3 linked regions of the Caenorhabditis elegans genome follow. The protein of the gene in region 2 interacts with the protein of the main gene of each other region in a pairwise test. Each region holds a gene or a part of one and is shown on either strand. Other genes may lie near its edges.

Evidence for each region. Proteins that work in one complex are often made in the same cells at the same time.
Region 1: the proteins of nhr-8 (region 2) and F53H1.4 interact in a two-hybrid assay, tested with the Caenorhabditis elegans proteins (one large-scale study listed by BioGRID).
Region 3: the proteins of nhr-8 (region 2) and znf-782 interact in a two-hybrid assay, tested with the Caenorhabditis elegans proteins (one large-scale study listed by BioGRID).

Annotation. Positions count from the first base shown.
Region 1 is NC_003282.8:1,306,751-1,313,165, forward strand, and holds the start of F53H1.4 (PHD-type domain-containing protein), read left to right. Parts: upstream 1-3,415; 5' UTR 3,416-3,473; coding exon 3,474-3,544; intron 3,545-3,847; coding exon 3,848-3,909; intron 3,910-3,991; coding exon 3,992-4,048; intron 4,049-4,146; coding exon 4,147-4,327; intron 4,328-5,376; coding exon 5,377-5,650; intron 5,651-6,270; coding exon 6,271-6,415. Other genes in the region: ddx-46 (RNA helicase), read right to left, coding at 1,159-1,712, 2,639-2,894.
Region 2 is NC_003282.8:7,707,278-7,715,936, forward strand, and holds nhr-8 (Nuclear hormone receptor family member nhr-8), read left to right. Parts: upstream 1-3,866; 5' UTR 3,867-3,871; coding exon 3,872-3,952; intron 3,953-4,500; coding exon 4,501-4,593; intron 4,594-4,641; coding exon 4,642-4,934; intron 4,935-5,259; coding exon 5,260-5,356; intron 5,357-5,402; coding exon 5,403-5,610; intron 5,611-5,813; coding exon 5,814-6,014; intron 6,015-6,060; coding exon 6,061-6,531; intron 6,532-6,578; coding exon 6,579-6,648; intron 6,649-6,723; coding exon 6,724-6,892; 3' UTR 6,893-6,921; downstream 6,922-8,659. Other genes in the region: mrpl-1 (39S ribosomal protein L1, mitochondrial), read right to left, coding at 407-499, 667-1,396, 1,446-1,671, 1,722-1,806; emc-6 (ER membrane protein complex subunit 6), read right to left, coding at 2,021-2,226, 2,270-2,349, 2,402-2,451; mrps-24 (Small ribosomal subunit protein uS3m), read left to right, coding at 2,770-2,862, 2,911-3,016, 3,069-3,169, 3,254-3,448; F33D4.6 (aECM cysteine-cradle domain-containing protein), read right to left, coding at 7,064-7,870, 8,035-8,106, 8,192-8,452. UniProt on the Caenorhabditis elegans protein: Orphan nuclear receptor.
Region 3 is NC_003282.8:1,064,526-1,070,811, forward strand, and holds the start of znf-782 (C2H2-type domain-containing protein), read right to left. Parts: upstream 3,001-6,286; 5' UTR 2,957-3,000; intron 1-2,956.

The DNA of each region.
Region 1 (6,415 bases), 6.4 Mb from region 2:
TTGCGCAAAGTCTGAAAAAGTTGGGTCTCGCCACGAAAAAAAACTATTCGAATTTCCTACTAAAAAAAAAAACAAAAAATACAAATTTCGATTTTCATGGGAAAAACATCGAAAAATTCAAGAATTTGCCGTTTTTTCCGTAAAAAACGAATTTTTTTCCTGAAAAAAGCCACAAAAAATTCCGAAAATCAAGCGGAAAAGCTAAAAATTCTAATTTTCAGCAGGATTTTGATTTAAAAAATTAGAACAATCCAAGAAACCACTAGGTTTTCAACAAAAAATTGGAAATTGAGCAGAATTTTTCAGTTTTTACAGCTTTAAAAAAAAACATCATAAATTCCGAGTTACCGTACCCAAATTTATAGCTTTCCTCGGAAACTGGGATTTAAAAAAAACAGAAAATTGTCAGAAAAAAGGGTTTTTATGGGTTTTTTTTTCAAATTTTATAATAAATTTTAATGTCGAAATTTCCAAATTTTCTACTTTACACCCGAAAACAGCCAAATTTCCGCGCTAAATGAAAATTTGGGCATAGCTTCCGCATCCCCGGTGACAAATGTGCTCTATTGCACCGAATTGTTGGTTGGAATACGGTATTTATTGCATATTTCAGCCGAGAATACCACTATTCAAACCATCAATTCGGATAGAGAAACACACAAGTCACATTTTCATGAAATTTACACCTAATCATACTGGAAATCGGTATTTTTTTTTTCTATTTTGCTTGCAGTTTTGGCAATTTTTTCGGAAAAAATGAGCTGAAAAACGTGTTTTTTCAGAAAATTTTCAGGATTTTTGGCGTTTTCAACCGAAAATATTCAAAATTTTATAGACAAATCTGAAAAATTCCAGAATTTTCATGTATTTTTAATACTTTTCTCTTAGAAAATCAAATTTTTCCGATTTTTGAAGATTTTTAGGCTAGAAATATATTTTTTACACAGATAATATTGGAAATAACCAAGAAATTGGTAGAGCCTCTAAGGGACTCAAAAAAACCCGGTTTATCGGATTTTTTGGCAATTTCGTATAAAATGTCCACTTTCCAGATTTCCCACAAAATGGAAGGTTTTTAAATAATTTTTTTTCAATTTTTCTTGATTTTTTCCGAATTTTAATATAAAAATTCCCGATTTTCAACTTCTCCCGCCGCACCTCAATATAGAAATTCTTCTTGAATTTCCGATAATAGACCTTAGAATGGTCAGTTTGTGCCAACATTCGTCCTTTATGACATAATGATGCTGCAGCCGTCTCAATATCAAAATCATCAATAACCATATCCATATTATCCTCATTTTCCAGCACTTGTCCCTTTTCGGGCTCCGGCTTCTCCTCCTGCACAATTGTCACAATTCCAGACGCTTTTTGCGTGGAGTTTCCGGTTTTTTTGGCGTTTTTAGTGGCAATTTCTTTCATAAAAGCGTCCAGAGGGTCCTCTTCGTCGTCTGTATCCATTTTTTCGACTTTTTCTTCCATTTTCACCGGGTTTTCCTCTGAAATTCCCTCATTTTTGATATCAAATTCGTCTTCATCATCCTCATCCTCCAGATTCCAGGGCTTTTTCTCAGATTTTTCATCAGATTGCTCAGATTGTAGATCAAGCTCTTCCTTCTTCTTTTGGGCTCTCCACTTCTCCACATTACGACGCCTACGCTCGACTCCCTGTAGTAATTCGGCTTCTTTCATTTTCATAACTTCTTCGGTGTCTGCAAATTGATAAAATTAAGGGGTTTTTTTGCAAAAAATTGAGAATTTGGGCTTTTTCACACTTTTATGGGTAAAAGCCGGCTGGAAATTCAATTTTTTGGGTGAAATTTGAGAAAACTCACTAAAATGTTAGGTTTTTTCGTAACAAAAAGTTGAAAATTGGCCTATTTCTTGCGAAAAAAACATAAAATTCACACTTTTCTGGGTGAAAATCGTCTAGAAATTCAGTTTTTTAGGTGGAAATTGAAAAAAAATCGCTTAAATTTTTATGTTTTCTTGGGAAAAAGGTAAGAACTCTATGGATTTTGCATGAAAAGTTCATAAAATTCACATTATTTTTTGCAAAAACCATACAAATCAGTGGAAAATTGGAAAAATCGCTTAAAAATGCATTTTTCTGGGTGAAAATTAGAGTTTTTTTTTCGCAAAAAATTGAGAATTCTATGGATTTTGCATGAAAAATTCGAAAATTTCGCACTTTTCTTGGTGAAAAATCGCCTAAACTTCAATTTTTCAACCAAAAACCTTTAAATTTGAACAATTTTCGGCTCTTTCTGTTGACAAATTTGAATTTCAACGGTATAAGGCGAAAATTGAATCAAAAATTCAATTTTTCTATCCAAAAATTGTCCGAATTTCGCTTTTTTTCTCCGGAAAAATTAGAAATTGCATGAAAATAGCAAAAATAAAAACGGCAAAAATAGCTGAATTTTGATGCTTTTGGCATGAAAATCGGCTAATTTTTGCGATTTTCAGTTTAAAAAGTTTTTTTTTTTTACCTTAAAATCCTATTTTTAGGCTGAATTTCGTTCAAATTTCCCAGTTTTAACTCAAAAATTCGAAAATTGGGATTTTTCCAGGCAAAAATTTGCTTTTTTTGGCTTTTTATCGATTTTTTTTGCCAATTTTTTTTGCAATTCCTTACCATTCCGTGACTCTTCCATTTCAAAAATCGCCGTTTTACTCTCTTTTTCCTTCTTTTTCTCTGCATCTCTCTGCTTTTCACGATCTCTCGTCTTCTCCCGATCAGTGTCTCGTTCTCTGCGTCTCTCCCGATCCCGATCTCTGTCTCGATGTTCCCGGTGCTCACGACTGCCACGTGGCGAGCGGCTCCGGCTTCTTTTTCGTTCCTTTGAACGGGAACGCTTTCGTTTGTGCTCTTTGTGCTCGCCGCGACCCATCGAAAACTGGAAAAAATTGGGGATTTTTGGATTAAAATTGGGAAAAATACGATTAAAGTGTGCGAAAACAATGAAAAATCACTGGAAATTCGTTAAAACCTTCGGATTTTTATAAAAGAACAATTTTAATCATTTTTAATTTCAAAAAGTGTTTTAAAATCCAGAAAATCTGATTTTCTGCCTATTTTCTGGCCGATTTATCGTTTTATGTAAGTAATTTGACTTCAATCTTCACTTTTTCACTTAAAAAACTTCGAAAAAAGCGAAAAATCTATGGAAAATAAAATAAAAACCGAAAAAAAAAAAGAATTTCGAAAATAAAAATTTTCCGCACTACGACACTCCGAAATCCCGCCGCGCGTGTTGTTTAGCGCTTTTAAAAATTGGCGCGAACGCGCAGGTGTTCAAACACTGTCCGTCGATTTTTCTCGCATTCCTCACAATTCTGTCGCTTTATAGCCGGCTTTCGCGCAAATTTTTGTGTAAATTACGTTAAAGTCACTTAAATTCAAGTTTTCCAGTGCGAAAAACTAACAAACTACTTGTTGCAACTCGGAAATTCAAAAAGTTGATTCGCAAATGAGCCAGCGATCATTTGGAAGTGAAATTGGAAATATGACGGCTGCTACGAATTCGAATGATATTGCGGAGTAAGTTTAAACGTGAATTTAAATTTAAAATGTTTTAAATAAAAAAATAAATTTTTTTTTAACTTATTTCTCGATTCTCCAAAATTTTGAGAGTTCTTTTTATTGTTTCTGGTGTAAAATTCAACGTTCTCTTCATTTTTCACATTGAAAACCCGTGAAAATCACTAAAAACCACTGGAAATTCATGAAAATCCAATAAAAACCAATGGGTGTGCAAGCGCGCCCCATTGCGAATATTTGAATTGTTTTTCGTTTTCGACTTTTTTTCTCCGAATTTCGAGCCAAATTTCTCTCTTTTTCCAGCGTTTCGCTCGCCACACCACTAAAATCGACGGAACAAATGGAAAAGTCGGAAAATGGGACAGGTTAGTGCCGAAAAATCGTGAATTTCCACCCGATTTTCACCTAGAAACCCGAAATTCCACAAAATAATGTTTCTTTTTTCAGCCGTCTCCCGCCTCCCAAAGCCACTCGCCATTGAAGTTTACTCGAAAGTTCACAATAGTGAGTGAAAAACCCAGAAATTGTGGATTTTTCATCAAAAATCTCCAAATTTTCGCTAGAAAACTAGATTTTTCGCGGAAAAATCCCCCAATTTTCAGGCAATTTATCAGAAGATGACCTTCTCGACGAAATTGAAGACCTAATTGATGAGAAATTCTTTGCCGGAGAGAAATTAATGAGCTCTGGCAAAGAATATACAGTGGTTTCCAGTGAAAAACGCGGTGGGCTCACACTTTACACAATGGAGGACGGCACCAAAATTGGACATCGCGATTTGAGGTGAAAATTGATGGAATTGCATGGTTTTCGGTGGAAAAATGTGGCGAAAAACCGTTGAATTTCGCTTATAAATCGGAGTTTTAGGCCAAAAATGACTAAAATCGTTAAATTTTCAGATTTTTCATGCAACAAATTTGAAAATTCCGCATTTTTTCTTCATTTTTCACCCAAAAAAAAAACCACTAAAGTTACAGGTTTTCATGAAAAATTGCTTATTTTAACCGAAAAATAACAAAAAATTGATTTTTTAATTCATTTCCCACGATTTTTACTTCAAAATTATCATTTTTAGGTCATTTTTTGAATTGAAAAACGGATTTTTAGATCTTTCCTGAGCAAAAATGGGGTTTTTTTCATTGAAAAATCGAGAATATCCCAATTTTTTAACCGGTAAATACGCTGAAATCGTGTTTTTCAGCCAATTTTAGACCTTTTTAAGTGAAATATAAAGTAAATCCACAAAATAGCTGCAAAAATGCGTAATTTTCAACATTTTTGCATGAAAAATCCAAAAATTTTCATGTTTTTTGATTAAAAACTCATAAAATTCGAGATTTTTGGACGGAAAATGCTTTAAAATATAATAATTTCACATAAAAAATGCTGAAATTTTTCATTTTTGCTATAAAAAATTTGAAAAATGTCAATTTTCAGCCAAAAAAGGGTCTCTCAGTGGGCGAAATTACGAAAAATGGCCATTTTTGCACTAAAAATCCCAGAAAATTCATTAAAATTTCCTCGAAAACCCGAAATTTCCAGTGAAAATTTATGGAAAATTAGTTTTTTCGTTCAAAAATTCGATTTTCCAGACAAAATGTCCACAAAAATTTGATTTTGCGGTGAAAAGTGTAAAAAACTGCAATTTTTTTTTTCAAAAATCCGTTTAAAAAGAGTCTGAAAAAGTTCAAAGATGTAATTTTGGATGAAAATTGTGTGAAATTTCACAATTTGGCGCTTAAATTGTCTCAAAAATAAGTGGAAATTACACTTTTTATGAAGAAAAATCCAAAATTTTAGAGAAAAAACCCTAATTTTCCCTCAATTTTCAGACGAAAAAAGGGTCTATCAGTGGAAGAAATCAAGAAAATCGCCATTGAAGATGCTGAATTTGTGGATGAAAAGCAGTGGAAAGTCCGGGAAGAACTGCTCGCCGAGAATCCGATTCGTGAAATTAAAAAATATGCTCCAATATTCTCAGCAAATCGGAAATCTACGCCGAAAACTGCTCAGCTCAGTGTGGCGGCAGAAGCCGATGATTCAGATGTACAAGAGGTGTCAATGGATGCTGAAAGTGGAGCAGAAGCTGCAAATAAAAGTGCTATGGTACGGGAAAATTTCGATTTTTAGCTGGAAAATTGAGAGAAAAATCTGATTTTTCGGAGAGGAAAAGTAAAGAAAAATCAGGATGTTAGCTGAAAATTGAAAAAAAAAGTAGATTTTCAGCTGAAAAATTGACAGAAACGCTATTTTTGTAGTCAAAGCTCGATTTTTCGTAGTAAAAATACAGAAAAATTAGGATTTTTCCTAAAAAATTGAATAAAACAGTGAAAAAATCGTGATTTTGACAGAGATCAACTAAATTCCGATGATTTTTAGCTTTAAAATTGACAAAATTTGTGAGAAATTAGATTTTTCGACTGAGAAATTGAGAAAAACGCCATTTTTCATAGTAAAAAATGAGGAAAAATGGGATTTTTATTTGTAAATTTCTGAAAAAACGAGAAAAATTGGATACATTTTGTGAAAAATCGAGAAAAAAACCACATTTTACAGTGAAAAATTGACTAAAATCTCGCAAAAATCGCCAAAATTGTGCCAATTTTCACCAAAAACTGTTAGAAAATATAATTTTTTAATGTAAAAATTGACAAAAATCATGCGAAATTTCCAATTTTCTGAGAACTTTCTGTTGAAACTTGTGAAAAAACCGAAAATTTTTGCAGAAAACTCCACGTGGAGCTCCGCGAGCATCTGGAGGCCCTGTGATCCTCTCGAGCCGCCGTTTACAAGAAAAACAGAAGGAAAAAGATGAAAAAGAGAAGGAAAAACTGGAGAAAAAGCAGAAAGAACAGGAAGAGAAGAAGCAGA
Region 2 (8,659 bases):
TTTTCCTGATGAAAATTGTTTTGCATTCTCAATATATTATTAGATTATACAAGCTTAATACGGAAAGCAAGACTACCTTTCAATGGGCACTTGTTGAGTAATTACAATCTAAACTATGCTGAAAATTAATCAGTGAGTCCTAACAAAAATCAGGCGCGTCTGAAGTTTTTTTTGACGACAAAAATGCCATTTTCCGGTTGATAAGAGAAGAGCACACAATTTCAGTTATTTCTCACGTAAGTCGAAGTAATAATCGGGGTGCATTGACCATTAATTCGAAGACAGAAGCTACTTCATAAAATGTTTTAATTTATTTTTCAAACAACGAAAAACCAAATAGAAAAATATGAAAAAGAAACAAAGAAAAATCTACAACTAATTTAAAACAATCCTACAAAGAAATTCTTTAAAGAGCCACTGCAACGACTGGAGCAACGTCATCTGTATCTTCTGTCTTCTTTTCGTCCTTCTTCTTCTTTTTGTTCTTTCTCTTTTCAATCTGCAAAAAATGGAATTTTGAACGTTTTCGCACAAATGTCGGCATGGTAACTCGAAACAGAAAAAATAATTTTTCTTGAAGAATTTAAAAATTAATGAGATACTACGAAGAAATAATGAAATTTAAGCGATATTATTAAGCGTCGTCAAAAACCATTTAAAAATTACCTTTTCAATTTCTTCTTCTGTTGGAATTGGAATCCATGGTTTTACATCGATAGCGTAATTTTCTTCTCCTGGAATTGTCATCAAAAGTGCTCGATTGACAAATGAACCAAGTGCAGGATTACGATGAGCACATGCGGCTGCAATTACAGTTGCGATATTGGCTTCAATATGTTCATTTGGCATTGATAACCGTCCAACAACGCAATCACTGAGCCCCCAAATGGGATATACAGGATCTCCTTTGATATTAAGTTTCACTCCGTTCTTGAATTTTTCGATAAGCTCTGGAAGATTTTCTCCGAGACCTCCATTAGCTCTTGTTGGGAATCTCATTTTAAGAATTCCACGTAGTGGAAGAATCGATGATCCCATATCTGAATGAGATACACAGAAATCATAATCGTCCGTCCTGAACTGTCCCTTGATGATTTTTTTGATGGTATCTTGTCCAAGAGCCATTTCAGCTCCAGATTCTACAGCCAGTTCTTGAAGTTTCACATCATTAGCGAATGCTAAAATGGTTCTTTTTTCGTTATGATTGAATGGATGAGGGACTGGGACAATTTCATCACTTCCTGTGACCATTTTCGTCTGCCTCTCAGTTGTCATGTTAAGTTCAAGGCGAAGACGGATTGGAGCATTTGGATTATTGTAGATTGATGGGCTTTGAAGTTCACGATGCATGTCAAGAGCTTCGGAGACTGTGTAGTATTGCGTTTTGAAGTGAGATCTGAAACATTTTAGAATAAAAAATAGAAATCACAAAACAGGTCTGATACTTTATGAAAACATCCAATGTTGGCTTTTCAGGGAGATTAGCTTCATCGTCAATGTTGAGTCTGCCTGGAAATTGTTGAGATGGTGATAGAAGATTTTTCATTCGCCGAATATTGATTTTTTCCATGAATGAGTATTGTTTTCTGGCTGCCTCTTTTTCTTCCCTTTTCATTCGTCTTTCTAGTTTTTGTTGGCGAGTGATTGTCTGCTTCAACGCTCTTTTACGCCCTTAAAATAAGTTTTTTTTAAAACTACATTTATTTTAAAAAAAAACGAACCTCTAATCTGAATAACATCCGCTGACGCTGGTCGTAGAATGTTACTCCCAGTAGAAGATACCGTCTGTCGAACAAACGATAACATCCTGAAAAGAACAAATGAAAAGTTTAAATAACAAGGAAGCACATTTATAAGGTTATTTTAAAGTTATTTTATCTGTTAAAACAGTGACGAACTATAAATAGGTAGATTAAAGCTGGATTGATTTATTAAATTGTATAAAATGTTGAAAAGAATAGATACATCTATTTTAGAAATAAATAAAAGGGAATGTAGACTTTCGCGAATAAAATGGATCTCAGTATACATGAACCATTCCGTAGAAGAATACCCAGAGCAGAACGAAAGTGAGAAGACCATTTCCGTGCGACCAAGTGAATGAGTTTCTTTCCGGAAAGTAGCTCAACCAGTTTCCTTGTGATTTCACGTTCCATATAACGGCCTGGATTCCAACAGAAATGAAATAGAGAATGAAGCCTTGAAAACCGGTAAGTCCGAGAATTCCTGTAAAAGAAGGATTTTTTAAATGATTTTTTTTGAAAATTACCTGCTGCCATACCGGCGGCGCACGACTGACACGTTCTTCCAAACTCGAGAGCTTCGACGTTGTTGGTTATCGCTGCCGTGCTGAAGAAATATATACATGATTATTGAATTCATGATTTTTACTTCGACTCACTTGTAACACTCATCGTTCTTCTTTTCTGCTTTTGACGATTTATCGGACATTTGAAAATCTGAAATTACAAATAACACTAATAATCAAAAAAGAACATGTTCTAGAACAACATAAAATTATTTAAAATTGAATAAAACTGGATTGCAAAGGGAATTTAAGAATTAAATAGAATAAATTAATAAATTTGTCTCTGAGAAATCTGTGCATTCTGACGTGACAGTGTATCAGTCCTGGGGAGCGCACTTGCAATATTCTTTTTTTAGCTAATTTTTTTTCTTTAAAAATATTGCATTTGCCTCGCTTTTATACTGAATCGCTTTTATAAATATATTTTTCTGCTTAAAATATTATTTTTATAAATTTCAGACATGCTTCGAAGTATACAACATGTCGAAGCCCTCAGCAGTCGTCAAATTTCGACAACATCGATGCTTCTCAAGAACAGAGCGGGTAAAACCAAGGTTTGTTGATCTTTCAATTATTTTCCCATTTATATTTTGCAATTTCCGTCTACATCAAATAGAACACAACTTCTTACATACGAAATGGCTCAAAAACCACATCATATTGGCGTGCGAAAATCGTGGCTCACATGGCATTCACAGAATCTCGAAGGTTTGTTCCAAAACTGAATTACGATTTAACAATTTTTAAAATTTGTTTTTAGAATTCCGTCAATCTCAACCACTGGTTGTTGCACAAGATGAAGTTGTTCGTCGGTTCATTCGAGGATTTTTCCCACAAAATTTAGTCGTTAGTGGAAATGAGGTAATAACTTATCAAAAAAATTTTAAAATTCAGTATAGTATCTATTTCTCTTATCCAAGTTTGCAAAACTTCACATTTTTCCAGATTGTAATCAAACGACGAGGAAACGTACTGATCGTTGCCGGATTCCTTCAATATTCGCGTCGACTCGATATTCGAAGAATCTACTGGATGTTCGGGTTTGCAGAAGAATTTCTTTCCATTCTTCTGAAACAACCAGTGAAGCTAGAAATGGCATTTGTGGAATCCGAAGAAGATGTAGCATACAACTATATCTAAAACTTTCATCTTTGTTATAGAACCGAAATACCGTAGTTTTATTTTACTTCTTTAATTGTTTCTGTTGTGTTCCAAAAAACAAAATAAATCTGAATTTTGGCATTTGGATTCTGGATTTTGGTCCCTGAAAAATATACGAGAGTCAACGATAAGACTTCATAAAATTATCAATCAGCGCATTGGTTTGACAAAAATCAATAAATATTTGTGCTCACTTCGCACACTGATAAGCAAACCCCATAGTCTTTCATACAAACTATTGCGCCCTTTCAATCGTCCTTTTTAACTATACGTGAATCACAGTTAACTATGCGTCGCTCATATAATCACTGATTATTATTCGTATCTTATTCCACTTGTGGTGTGACTTATCTGCAAAACCTAACAACATTTTAATCACTAAAACAAAAATTTCGTCATTCCATGCCTTCGTCTTCTCCATCGATGGACGAGTCTCGAAGGTCTGCTGTTCCACCAAAAGAGCCTGCTGGCAGAATTTGCACAGTTAGTTTTGATATTATTTAGAATATAATCACTTTATTGAAGAGCCTCTTGACGCTGGTTTAAAAGTTGAAAAAACCATCAGAAAGTTGTAATTTTATTTTGGAAACGGCGTGAGATTTTTCGATTTTTGCTTAAAAAATACGGTATCCGGTCTCGCCAAGACAAGTCTTTAAGGAGTACTGTAATTTCAAACTTTAGAAGAACATGCATATTTAACGTGAAAAACTAAAATAAAACACATAAATGTTTTTAAAAAAGTATTAATAGCTATGAATTATCAATGAAAATTCCACAGCTTGAAATTACAGTAATCTTCAAATGCACACAGCTTTTTGTACTGAACAAAGATTGTCGTGCCGAGACCTGGTACCGTATTTTTGACCTAAAAATCAAAAAGAAAATTCCGTTTGGATACATATCGTCTTTTCCAAAACGTAAGATGAGTTCCATAGTGGATTACTACAAATCTGGTGGTATTTTTGTAAAAATATAATAGAAAAACGTTTTTTCATTTATACTTCTAAACCAACAATTGTAATTAATTTTAGGTTTGCTCCGACCGTGCAAATGGATACAATTTTGGTGTACTCACTTGCGAATCTTGTAAGGCGTTTTTCAGGCGAAATGCTTCAAAGCATAAGGTTTTAAAAAAAAAAGCATACTCAAGTTGTTAAAAATTTTGTGTTAAGGAAATTAAATGTCCTTTCTCTGATTCTTGTCAAATCACATCAGCATCTCGCAAGTTTTGCCAAGCTTGTCGATTGAATAAATGTTTTGCTGTTGGAATGAACAGTGAATGGTTAAATGATTTGAAACCGAAGAGTTCAATTGTTTCTGGAAAATTCAAAAGAAAGAAGCCTGATATGAAGAATAACTTGAAAGTGGAAGTAGATGATACTGAAGAAGATTTGGAAAATGATGATGAAGAACAAATTAGTGTCCCCAAAGCATTACTTGAAAAGCTTATCAATAAAGCTAATGAGTAAGTTTCAATGAAATTATCCGGAAATAATAAACTACTGTTTCAACAAATTTACTATAATATAACGGGAAAATAACAAAAAAACGCCTTTACCCCAGAATGCAAAAACAGTAGCCGCGCACGTATGTAGGCATGAAGAAGTGCCTACCATGGCAGCCTTAGCACGTTCTCACATTTATTCAATTGAATCTATTTAATTAAAGTGGTCTCTCGATAACCTGTGATATGTACCGTATGAGAAAGTACAATTATCTAATCAGTAGATCACACAAGACCACAAAACTACGTCACTCTAGTAACAGACAATCGTACATTGAACTTTCAGAAAATCAAAAGACAGATGTACATGCAAATGCCAGTGTGGATTCTATCCAATTACTCAAAGACTCACCGCATACGAACCAAAGGATACAACAGCTGTGGTTAGTAGAGTTTAAAATACAAGAAAATCAATTATTTTATATTCAGAACAGTCCACAAGATATATCATTCTCCCATCATCTTCATCATTCGGATTCGTTTTATTCTTCATCTACTTCAACTCTTTCTCCAATGTCGGTTATCAGTTGTGCTCCATCTTCACATGATTCCAGTGGTTACAATACTTCTCAACTTGTTACTCAATCTCCAACCAACTACACAGTTTCTCCGGCGTCTATACCGAGCTCAATAACTGGTATGTTTTTAGGAGCAGCTCGTGAAGCTGAACGCTAGAACCTCACTGTCAAAAATGTTTGACAACAAGCCAGACATAACTCATCTAGAAGGCTATCACTACGAATTCAAAGTAGGCAGAAGAGTTACGTCCGCCTTCCGAGCCGACAAGAAAACACTTTTATTAATACGTACTGAAGTAAAGAATATACGTCTAAAATTTAGAACTGTCTCCACAAATGCCATCGCAATATCCTCCAATGTTATCACCATTTCAATTTGGTGTTATGGCCCAAATGGCTGCGCCAGCCAACTTTTTGAATTTTCCTCCAATGCCTGAAAGAACATGGACTCCAATTCAAGCAGTGTCCACAGTTCCAGTAACTGAAACTCTACCTCCAAATTTGCTAGAACAAATTCATTCAAGTACTGTTTCATGTCATCCATAAGTTTGAATTTTGCAACTTTTCAGAGATTGACAAATACATTGGAGTTTTGAATGAAGACGAGATAACTCTTTTAGAAGAACTTCATGTACAAAATGAGCCATTAAATGCTCCACTAATTCAATGGCACAATCCGAAAAGCATTGATGGAGTTTTTAGAATAATAGAAGAAGCTCTACGAAGGATTGTTAACATGGCATGCCAATTAAGTCTATTCCGAGAGCTTCACGTGGACGATAGGAAAAATCTCTTGAAAAGTGGATTTGGGGAGTTGTTGATTGTGCGGGGTCTTATGGCCTATGACAAGAGTGATAACAGCTGGAATCATTCATTTGGAGTACGAGGAAAAATGGAGGTAAAGGTGGAAGTTCTTAAGAATCCAAAACTTGAAGAACATTACAAAGCACACATGAACTTGCTTTCAACGTTTGGAGAAGATGTGAGGAATAATGAACATTTGATGCTCATTTTCAATGCAGCTGTTATATTTCATCCTCGTGAGCCAGTTTTTCAAAATTGATTCGTTTTAAAGTTATTAATTCAGATGTCTCCAACTTACGTGATAGTAAACGAGTGCACTCAACACAAGCAAAATATTTCCAGATGCTCTTGAAGTAAGTACTGTACGAGAAAAGCACGTATTGTATAACTTTTTGATTATAACATTTTTAATATTGTCCTACTTTCAGACTTCTTACATTTGAATATGGTAAATCACGTGCTGACATTGCATACAGTAATCTTCTGAATCAAGTCGTCGAGCTTCATCGTGTGAATAGGACCTTACTTCGTGTGTTTTATGGACTAGATATTGCTCAATTGGATCCTCTGATACGAGAATTATGTTCTTTTGAATAACCATTTATTAACCATGAATTATTGCACATATTGCACACTTATTAACATGAGAAAGTTTTTGAGAAAATTGCACAAAAGTCAAGGGCAGAAAGATGGAGAAAATATTACAAACAAATACACGTAGATCTGGATCGAAATCAAAATAAAAATTAATATAAAGGTATTAATTAATTACTCCTCTTTCAACCACTTTTGGCACTTGGCAACATAAGCATGAGAACGAGCACATGTTAGTGCTGGATAATAGTTCTCAATAAAGTAACAGTGCTCTTTTGCGAACTCTTCAACGGTATCAAACAAGAATTGACGTGCGAAGCTACGAAGGTTCAAGCATTGATGCTTTGTCACAACAGCTCTCTTTTTGTTTTTCTTGACACGTTGAGCACGTGTAACTGGAGCTTCAGTGGTGGTGGTGGTTGTTACATCTTCTTCTTCATCTTCAACTAACTCTTCTGCTTCAATAACATCATCTTCCTCTTCCTGTTCCACGGCAGCTGTCACAACTTCTTCCTCTTCTTCTTCTGGTGTAGTTGTTGGAGCTTCAGTAGTAGTTGTTGTGGTTGTAGTCTTCATTTTTGAGAGACGAATTCTCTTCATAACTCTCTTTCTAACCTCCTTATTCAAAAGTTCTTCTTCCTGCTCTTTTGTCAACATCTGAACCTTGCTGCTTCTCTGTTCGATAGCATCATTCATTGGAGTATCATTTTGAACTTCTTGTTGGGTTGTTTCCTGTCTTTTTGGGCTCTCTTGAACCTCATCAACTCCATCGAATTGCTCAGCAAACTCTTCGGATGGTGGGGAAACACTTGGAGCCACTTGGGTCTTCCATTGCTCGTCATAAAGATCTGGGAACTTGCGGATCTCTTTCTTTTCTTTCTTTGATGTTTTGTGACTCTTTCTCATCTTTCTCTTCTTCTTTGGTGGTTCAGTCGTTGCTTCTTCTTCCTCCTCAACTGGTTTCTCTTCAACCTTTTCATTCTGAAATGATAAAAATGAGGATTTTTAAACTAAAAAGATATTCCCAAATGAGTTATTAGTTGAATTTGCAGCTAACGTGCTGACAGCAATTGAGTGCAAATTAAAAAGGCCCCCAAAATTAACTTATCCGAAGGCATCTAAAAGTGCATAAAACAAAAAGTTACTTCTTCAACTTTGACGACACGTGGTTTGCGAATCTTTCTTTTACGATTGATGCTGTACACACGAATGCTTCCCTGAGACAAGTGTTAGATTAGCAAATGTGATTGATTAGAATGAACAGAGTATACCAAGAAGAGAGAGAGAATAAATAAGACTTACCTCTTTTTGAAGAATATTGACTGGTTCCTGTTCCTCCTGTGCTTGAATATCGATTGGATCACTCATCTGAACAGTTTTTGCTCCAAATTGACGAGAATGCATGTCTTTTCCCTTTTTTTCAAGATAATGAATCTTTCGTCTTGGAAGGGACTTGCGTTTTGGTTTAATTGTCTCTTGCTCAACTTCTTCAATTGTCGTGACTTCTGGTTCTTCGGTAGTGGTTGGAGTGGTAGTGGTTGTTGGATCAGTGAACAAGTTGATCTGAAAATAATGGAATTGAAACTATACTTTGTAGTTTTTGTGTGGGTTTTTTTTTCAAATTTTTACTTTCATTTTTCAGTTTCTTGGATGCATTTATGGAGCCACTTCAGCACTTCTACAAAATAAGACAGTGGGACTTGTTCCCCGATATTTGTCAATAAATTTAATGATAAAGTATAGACAATTATTTACTTTATTGAAAAATAA
Region 3 (6,286 bases), 6.6 Mb from region 2:
GTGCCATGATGTTCCGACGTTCGAGGTGGCAGCAGCACAACAACACACAGCGGAGAAGAAGCATGCGAACAAAAAAAACGTCTGGTTTCTCTGATGCCCTAGCCCTCACCCACCCCACCCCGACTACTGGTACCAGGCGCCTCCTCGCCGCTCTTCAAGACCACCCCGTCGACGACGCTGCGCCAAAACAAACACGGCGACTGGCACGCTTCTTCTCAACTGCGTCTTCTTCTTATCCGCGCGGAACACACACAACACACACACACGGCATATAATAATTGTTTTGGCTCCGGCGTTCGGTGGGCTCCGCGCGGAGCAAAAGGAGCAAAAGAACGCACGTAGGAATTCGTCATTTATGTTTTGGTGACTAGGGACTAGTAGTCTTGAAAGAGTAGGATATTAGTATGAGGAGAGGTGAAAGAATCCAAGGGTCCAAAAAGATTTTTAGCATTTAAGGAGTCTAAACTTTTCCGAACACCTCGTGAAATTTTGCACCTGGCAGCAATTTTTGCACCTGGAGGGGTTCAGTTACTACATGAAAACTTTGAGGTTTTAGAGGGGTATTGTAGGATTACTGTAGTATTAATGTAGGGCTACTGTAGAAATACAAAAAAATTACGGTAGGGCTACTGTAGTATTACTGTAGGGCTACTGTAGAATTACAGAAAAATTACGATAGGGGTACGATCACTGTAACAGTTGATGCACCATGTTTTGCCGATTAACTTTGACAGCTTATATCTCGATTACTTTTACTGATATCAAAAAATGTTTAAAAATAGAACTATAGAGAAAGATATAAGAAATGTTTTGTCTGTTGCCAATTTTTGAACCAAAAACAACCAAGATTTGAACCAATGAAGTTGTGCTTGGCATTTTACTTTGAATGATCATATCTTGGTTTTTTAAAGAGATATCAAAAATTGTTAAACTACATTATTATAGAAAAGGTTATAATAAACATTTTGTCACTAGACAATGTTTTGATAACACCAAACACAACTGAAATACAAGACGTCAAAAAGCTGACGAAGGATTTTCAGTCGATGCACCATGTTTTTTTAAATTTCACAAAGTTTCCTATTTCCCATTCAAAATCACTAACCTTTTATTTTCAAATACTCAAATACGTAACCTTTTACCTTATCACATACCCTGGTCACCCCAACTCGTGGTATCAGGTTACCCCCTCGTAACCCATTCCGCGTGACCGCATGCCTGCCGGCGCGGCGGCAAGCGGCCTGGCACGGAGCTATGGGTGCCTGCCGGTGACATGATGATGCCCGTCCAACCATAGATAATAATAGGTAGACACCACATACAAACATATGTGTGTGTGTGCGTTCTTTTTTTGTTGGAAAAATGAGAGAGAAACTTTGACCACATACAAACATTTATGGCTATATCTAGTTGGATTTCAAAAACCATGTGTTTGACCTACATGTAGTACGGATTAACGGGATTGGTGGAAAATGTGGATAGGACCTTTGAAAACTGGGTTGATAGTGATTTCAGATCATGGTGCATGGACTAGATTTTAGGCAGGCGCGGGGCCTGAAGCCTGCCTGAAACCTGCCTGCTTTTTCCCCTTTTATGCATTTTAGGTGTATTTACACTGATGATTTTCAAATTAAAAAAAAAAGAAAAAAAAAACACGTATGATTTAGCATAAGTATTGAGGCAGGCGGAGATCGCCTGAAGGCCAGGCAGGTAGGCGTTTTATCGCCTACATAGGAGCCCTACACTTCAAAGTTGAGTCATATGAAATCAATGTAGAAAAAATTATGAAAAACAGCTTAACTAAACGTAACCGAAATATGGCCTCGATGCACCATGTTCAGAACTTTTCTTCGACAGACTCTATCTAAGAAGTGTTAATTTAAAAAAAAAAATTCCGATAAAACCAAAACCAGCCAAAATATGTAAGGAATTATGAAGAATGAAACAATTATTAAAAAGTTCCGAGAGGAGGAGTCCCAAGATAAAACAATAGCCTCACTCTCTCTCTCCCATATAACAACAAATGAAAACAACCTCCCAAAAAAAAACCAAACACAGAAGTAGACAATTGAAAGAGTGACGGGATGGTGAGAAACCAGTTCAAATGACCAGGTCATTGTTTCAGAGAAAACTGGTCACTTTTGTCGAGTTTTTTTTTGGGCAAACTATGTTAGGCAAGCCAATATCTCGGCTTTTTATGCTATTTGTAATTTTTTCCACGGGTTAATGTAGAAAAAGAGGTGAGCAATATTTTGTCAGTTGATAATTATTTTATAAACCCAGAGACAATTTAGATATAGAGCTGGTAAAGTTAAGTTTGCAAAACTTATCGATGCACCATGTTTTTATTTTGGTTTATTTTAGCGATATTAGTTACATATCAACTACAAATGTATAGAATAATGAATAAAACATTTATTACCAATAGACAACTTACTGGATAAACAGGGCGCGATTGGTGGGATAGCGGAGCGTCGTTTGAAAGTTTGAAAAATTGCAAGTTCTCTTTTTTTTTTGTGCAAAAAAGCTGGTAATAATGCACAAAAAAGTCATGTAAAATTTCAAATTCCCACCAAAAATTATTGGATAAACAGAGCGCGCTAGGGGATAGCGGAGTGTCGTTAGAAACTAGTAAATTTCAAAACTTGAAGGCTTCTAGTGGTGAAATCGATTTTGTTTTGGTGGTCGGTGGTGCAAAGCTGATAAATTTTAAATTCATAATTTAATCTGTGATTAGAGGGAGTTGGCCCGAAATTTGGAACTTTTTCTTTAAAAAAAAACTTCAAGTTAAATTGGCTAAACATCAAGCACTAGAGGGATAACGGAGTGTCGTTTGAAATTCAATGTTGCACTTGAAAACTGATAAAAAAGGGCCCAAACCCAACCCTAGATGGGTCCAAGCCTAGACAGGTCCCAGAAATTTCTAGAGAGCTCCAGATAGGCCAAACTCACTCACGTTTTTTCGTCTTTTTCTCGAAGAGTCCTCGCGCGCGGCGGAGTGCGGAAGCGGCATGATGCGACGCGACGAGCACTGCGGAAAAATGCCTGCGTCTCTTCGTCTCGCACGCTCTATCGGCTCGTTCCGCGCGCCCCTCCTGGTGTCGACTGGCACGTCGGGGCGCCCCCCCGCTGGCCACTTAGAGACGCAGAGTGTGGGAAAAAGAATGACCAGTGGTTGAAAAAATGACATTCAAAAAAGAAGAAGAAGAAGAAGGAAGGAGCAACAAACCACCAAACAACACAAAATTGATAAGGGTATGGGAAATCGCACAATTTTTGAGAATTCTCTCAAATAGGTCTAGGAGGTCTAAAAACTGAAATTCTGAATTGAGAAATCTATATTTAGGTCAAAAAGGTCTAAGTGTTAGGATCCTGAGCTATATTTCAGCCTAACGGAGTCTAAAATGCCAAAAATCATAGACTGGGTCTTTTTTGCAACCTAATTTTGGCATGTTTATACTTTTTATAGGTAGGGAGCCAAATTACGGACTAAAAGGTGATCGGTCTAGGGACTGGAATTTTGGTCTGAACGTTTGATTTGGGCTGTAAAGGCATTGATATTGGCCAGTCTTGGCCAGGCCATAACTTTTCCCGAAAGGGTTACAAACAGGGTTCTAGAGACTCTAGTTTTGGCCCAAAAAGGAGTTATGAAGCAAAAAGGGCCACAATACCCCAAAAATAACCTAAATGGTCCAAGTGTTGAGTTACGTTTCCTACCTGTTTAGTCTGGCAAAAAAAGCCTAGAAACCCTAATTCTGATCTAGGACCAAAATTTTATCATAAAGAGTATCAAAAAAGGCATAGGGACTTGAATTTCGGTCTGAAAGTTTGATTTGGTCTATGAAAGCCCTAATCTTGCAGGTCATACTTAGGCTGGAAGGCTTACAAACAGGGCTCTAAGTACTTTATTTTTAGCCACGCTAATCCTGATCTAGGACCCTTATTTTATCTCAAAGAGTTTCAAAAAGAGGCCCTTGAATATTGGCCGATCTGGTCTCAATGGGAACTTAAGAACCATGGGTCTTTCGTCTGGCAGAATAGGCTTAATTTGGGCCTAGGACCCGGATTTTATCTCATAGGGTTTCAATAAGTAAGCCCAAGCCTAAGCTTCAGCCTAAGCTCAAGCCTGAGCTCAAACCTCAGCCTAAGCTTAGACCCCAAGTTTGGCCAAAGGATCCTTGAAGAAGGACCAATATTTATTCGAATTTTTACCAAATATAAAGTACCATACTAAAAAACTTTTTTCATATCTTTCTGTATTTGTATGTTCTCTACTTTTTTCTTCTGTCTTCTTTACAAAACCTCCCCCCCCCCCCCCCATCTATCCATGATTCACATGCTGCCACACCTCCCCCACACTATTTCACTCTTTTTTCCTGCTGCTGCTGCTGCTGCAAGCATCGAGAAATACACACACAAATACACGGTGCTGGGTCACCACCTGGAGCCACCCATGGCTCTTTTCATATGTTTTTGCCTGGAAAATGACGACGACGCGGCAGCGGCAGCGGCAGAGACGCGGAGAACAAGCAGGGAGCGGAAGGAGTACGGGACCAGCGGGGCTAAGGGGGGCCTGGGAACCGGGGAGCCAAAAGTGGTCTGGGATCGTGCAAGGAACCAGGGAACCGAGTAAGCAAGGGAAACGGGGGTGCAAAAGCATTGCTTCATTCAGTTCCAAACTTGAGAAATTCAAAAAAAAAACAAAGCCCACGGGCATAGGAATTCTAAGGTGATAAGCACCGAGGCATCAAAAACGCTAGTTCGATTTTCATACACTTGAGCATTAGAAAAATCTTGTGTAGGCCTTCTAAGTCCAAAAGCCCAAAAACCGGTCGAAAAGGTCAGGTTTTTTTCAGAATTATTGAATTTTCTGGGGATTTCTTTTTGCTCTCTTTTTGTCCCCTGCTCAGCCTAAGCCTAAGCCTAAGCCTAAGCCTAATCCTTAGACTAAGCCTAAGCCTGAGCCTAAGCCTAGACCTGAGGCCAACCTTTGGCTCTCTGCAATTCTGACACCTCAAGGTACTTTTCCAGTCGACCAACTAGTACTACTACGACTAATACTAGAAACTTCTGTTGTTGTTGTCGTTCCGCGTCGCACCGCGCTGGCACCGACCGGCACACTGGCTCCGCCTGCCTAGCAGAGACTAGGCTGGCAGAAAAATGAGGAAAAAAACTAGGAGCGGGGGGGGGGGGGGGGGGTAGGGGTTGCTTGGGACCTTGGAGTTGAAAATTCTTGAAGTCAAGGGGTCTTGAGCTTCACGGGCCTACTGGACCTCCTTGGGCTTAGGGCCTACTGGTCTTTGGACTAGAAAACTCAAGGACTTTGAGTAAGAAACAACTGAGCTAGAAGATGAACAACAGGTGTAAGCCAGGGTAATACAGAACCTACATATAGTACAGGGAGTCTACATTTTGGTCTACATACATTCGGGCTAAAAGTTTTTATTTAGTCCAAACGGATCAAGCTTAGACTTTAGCTTCAGATTTGAAAGGTCGAACTGTAGGTATGAGCGATGCAACTTCCTGTTTAGGCGTATCAAGCTGTTTTATTTATCTAGCGAAGAACGGGAGAGCCTGAAGGCATCTAGATTACCAATTACACCCTATCAGAAACAAAACCGACAAAATTTCGAAATTTGGGTAATAAGCTCGGTTTTGATGTCGTAAGCTTTGATCGGGTGGCTGAATGAAAGGCTTTTGAGATTCTTCAAGGGATCTAGGTGGTTATGGAAGGATCTAAAGACACTAGACTTTAAGGCTTAGAGCTTTAAATGGCTTGGCTAGGTCCTATGCACCCTTAACCTATCAGAAACAAAACCGACATATAACATCAAAAAATTATCGCCACATAAAAAAAAATTGCATGCAAACAAAAAAATGTTTTCCTCTTTTTTTTTCTATCTCTTCCCTTTTTCTCGTTTCATCATTCCCCCATACTCTCCCTGAAAGTGGTACCGACAGATACGGAGCCCCCCGTCCTCCCCTGACCAGTCGCCTGGTCAGCTTAACCAGCATGAGACGCAGAGAGTCGCAGCGCCCCGGCGAGAGGAGCGGCGTCACTGAAGAGACTGGTGAGAGAACGGGACGGAATTTTTTTTTTTTCGTTTTTATGTTTTTGCATTTTCCTGCTGTGTTGCTCTCGGTGTTGCGCCCCCCGTGCTTGTCCGTGCCTTCTGGGAAATTGGAGAGCTGGAGAAATAGAGGGCTAGAGATTGAAGTGTTAAAAATAGGCAATTTTTTTTCTGATGAGCAACACTCAGGGCCATCGGTAAAAGGGGAGTAAAGT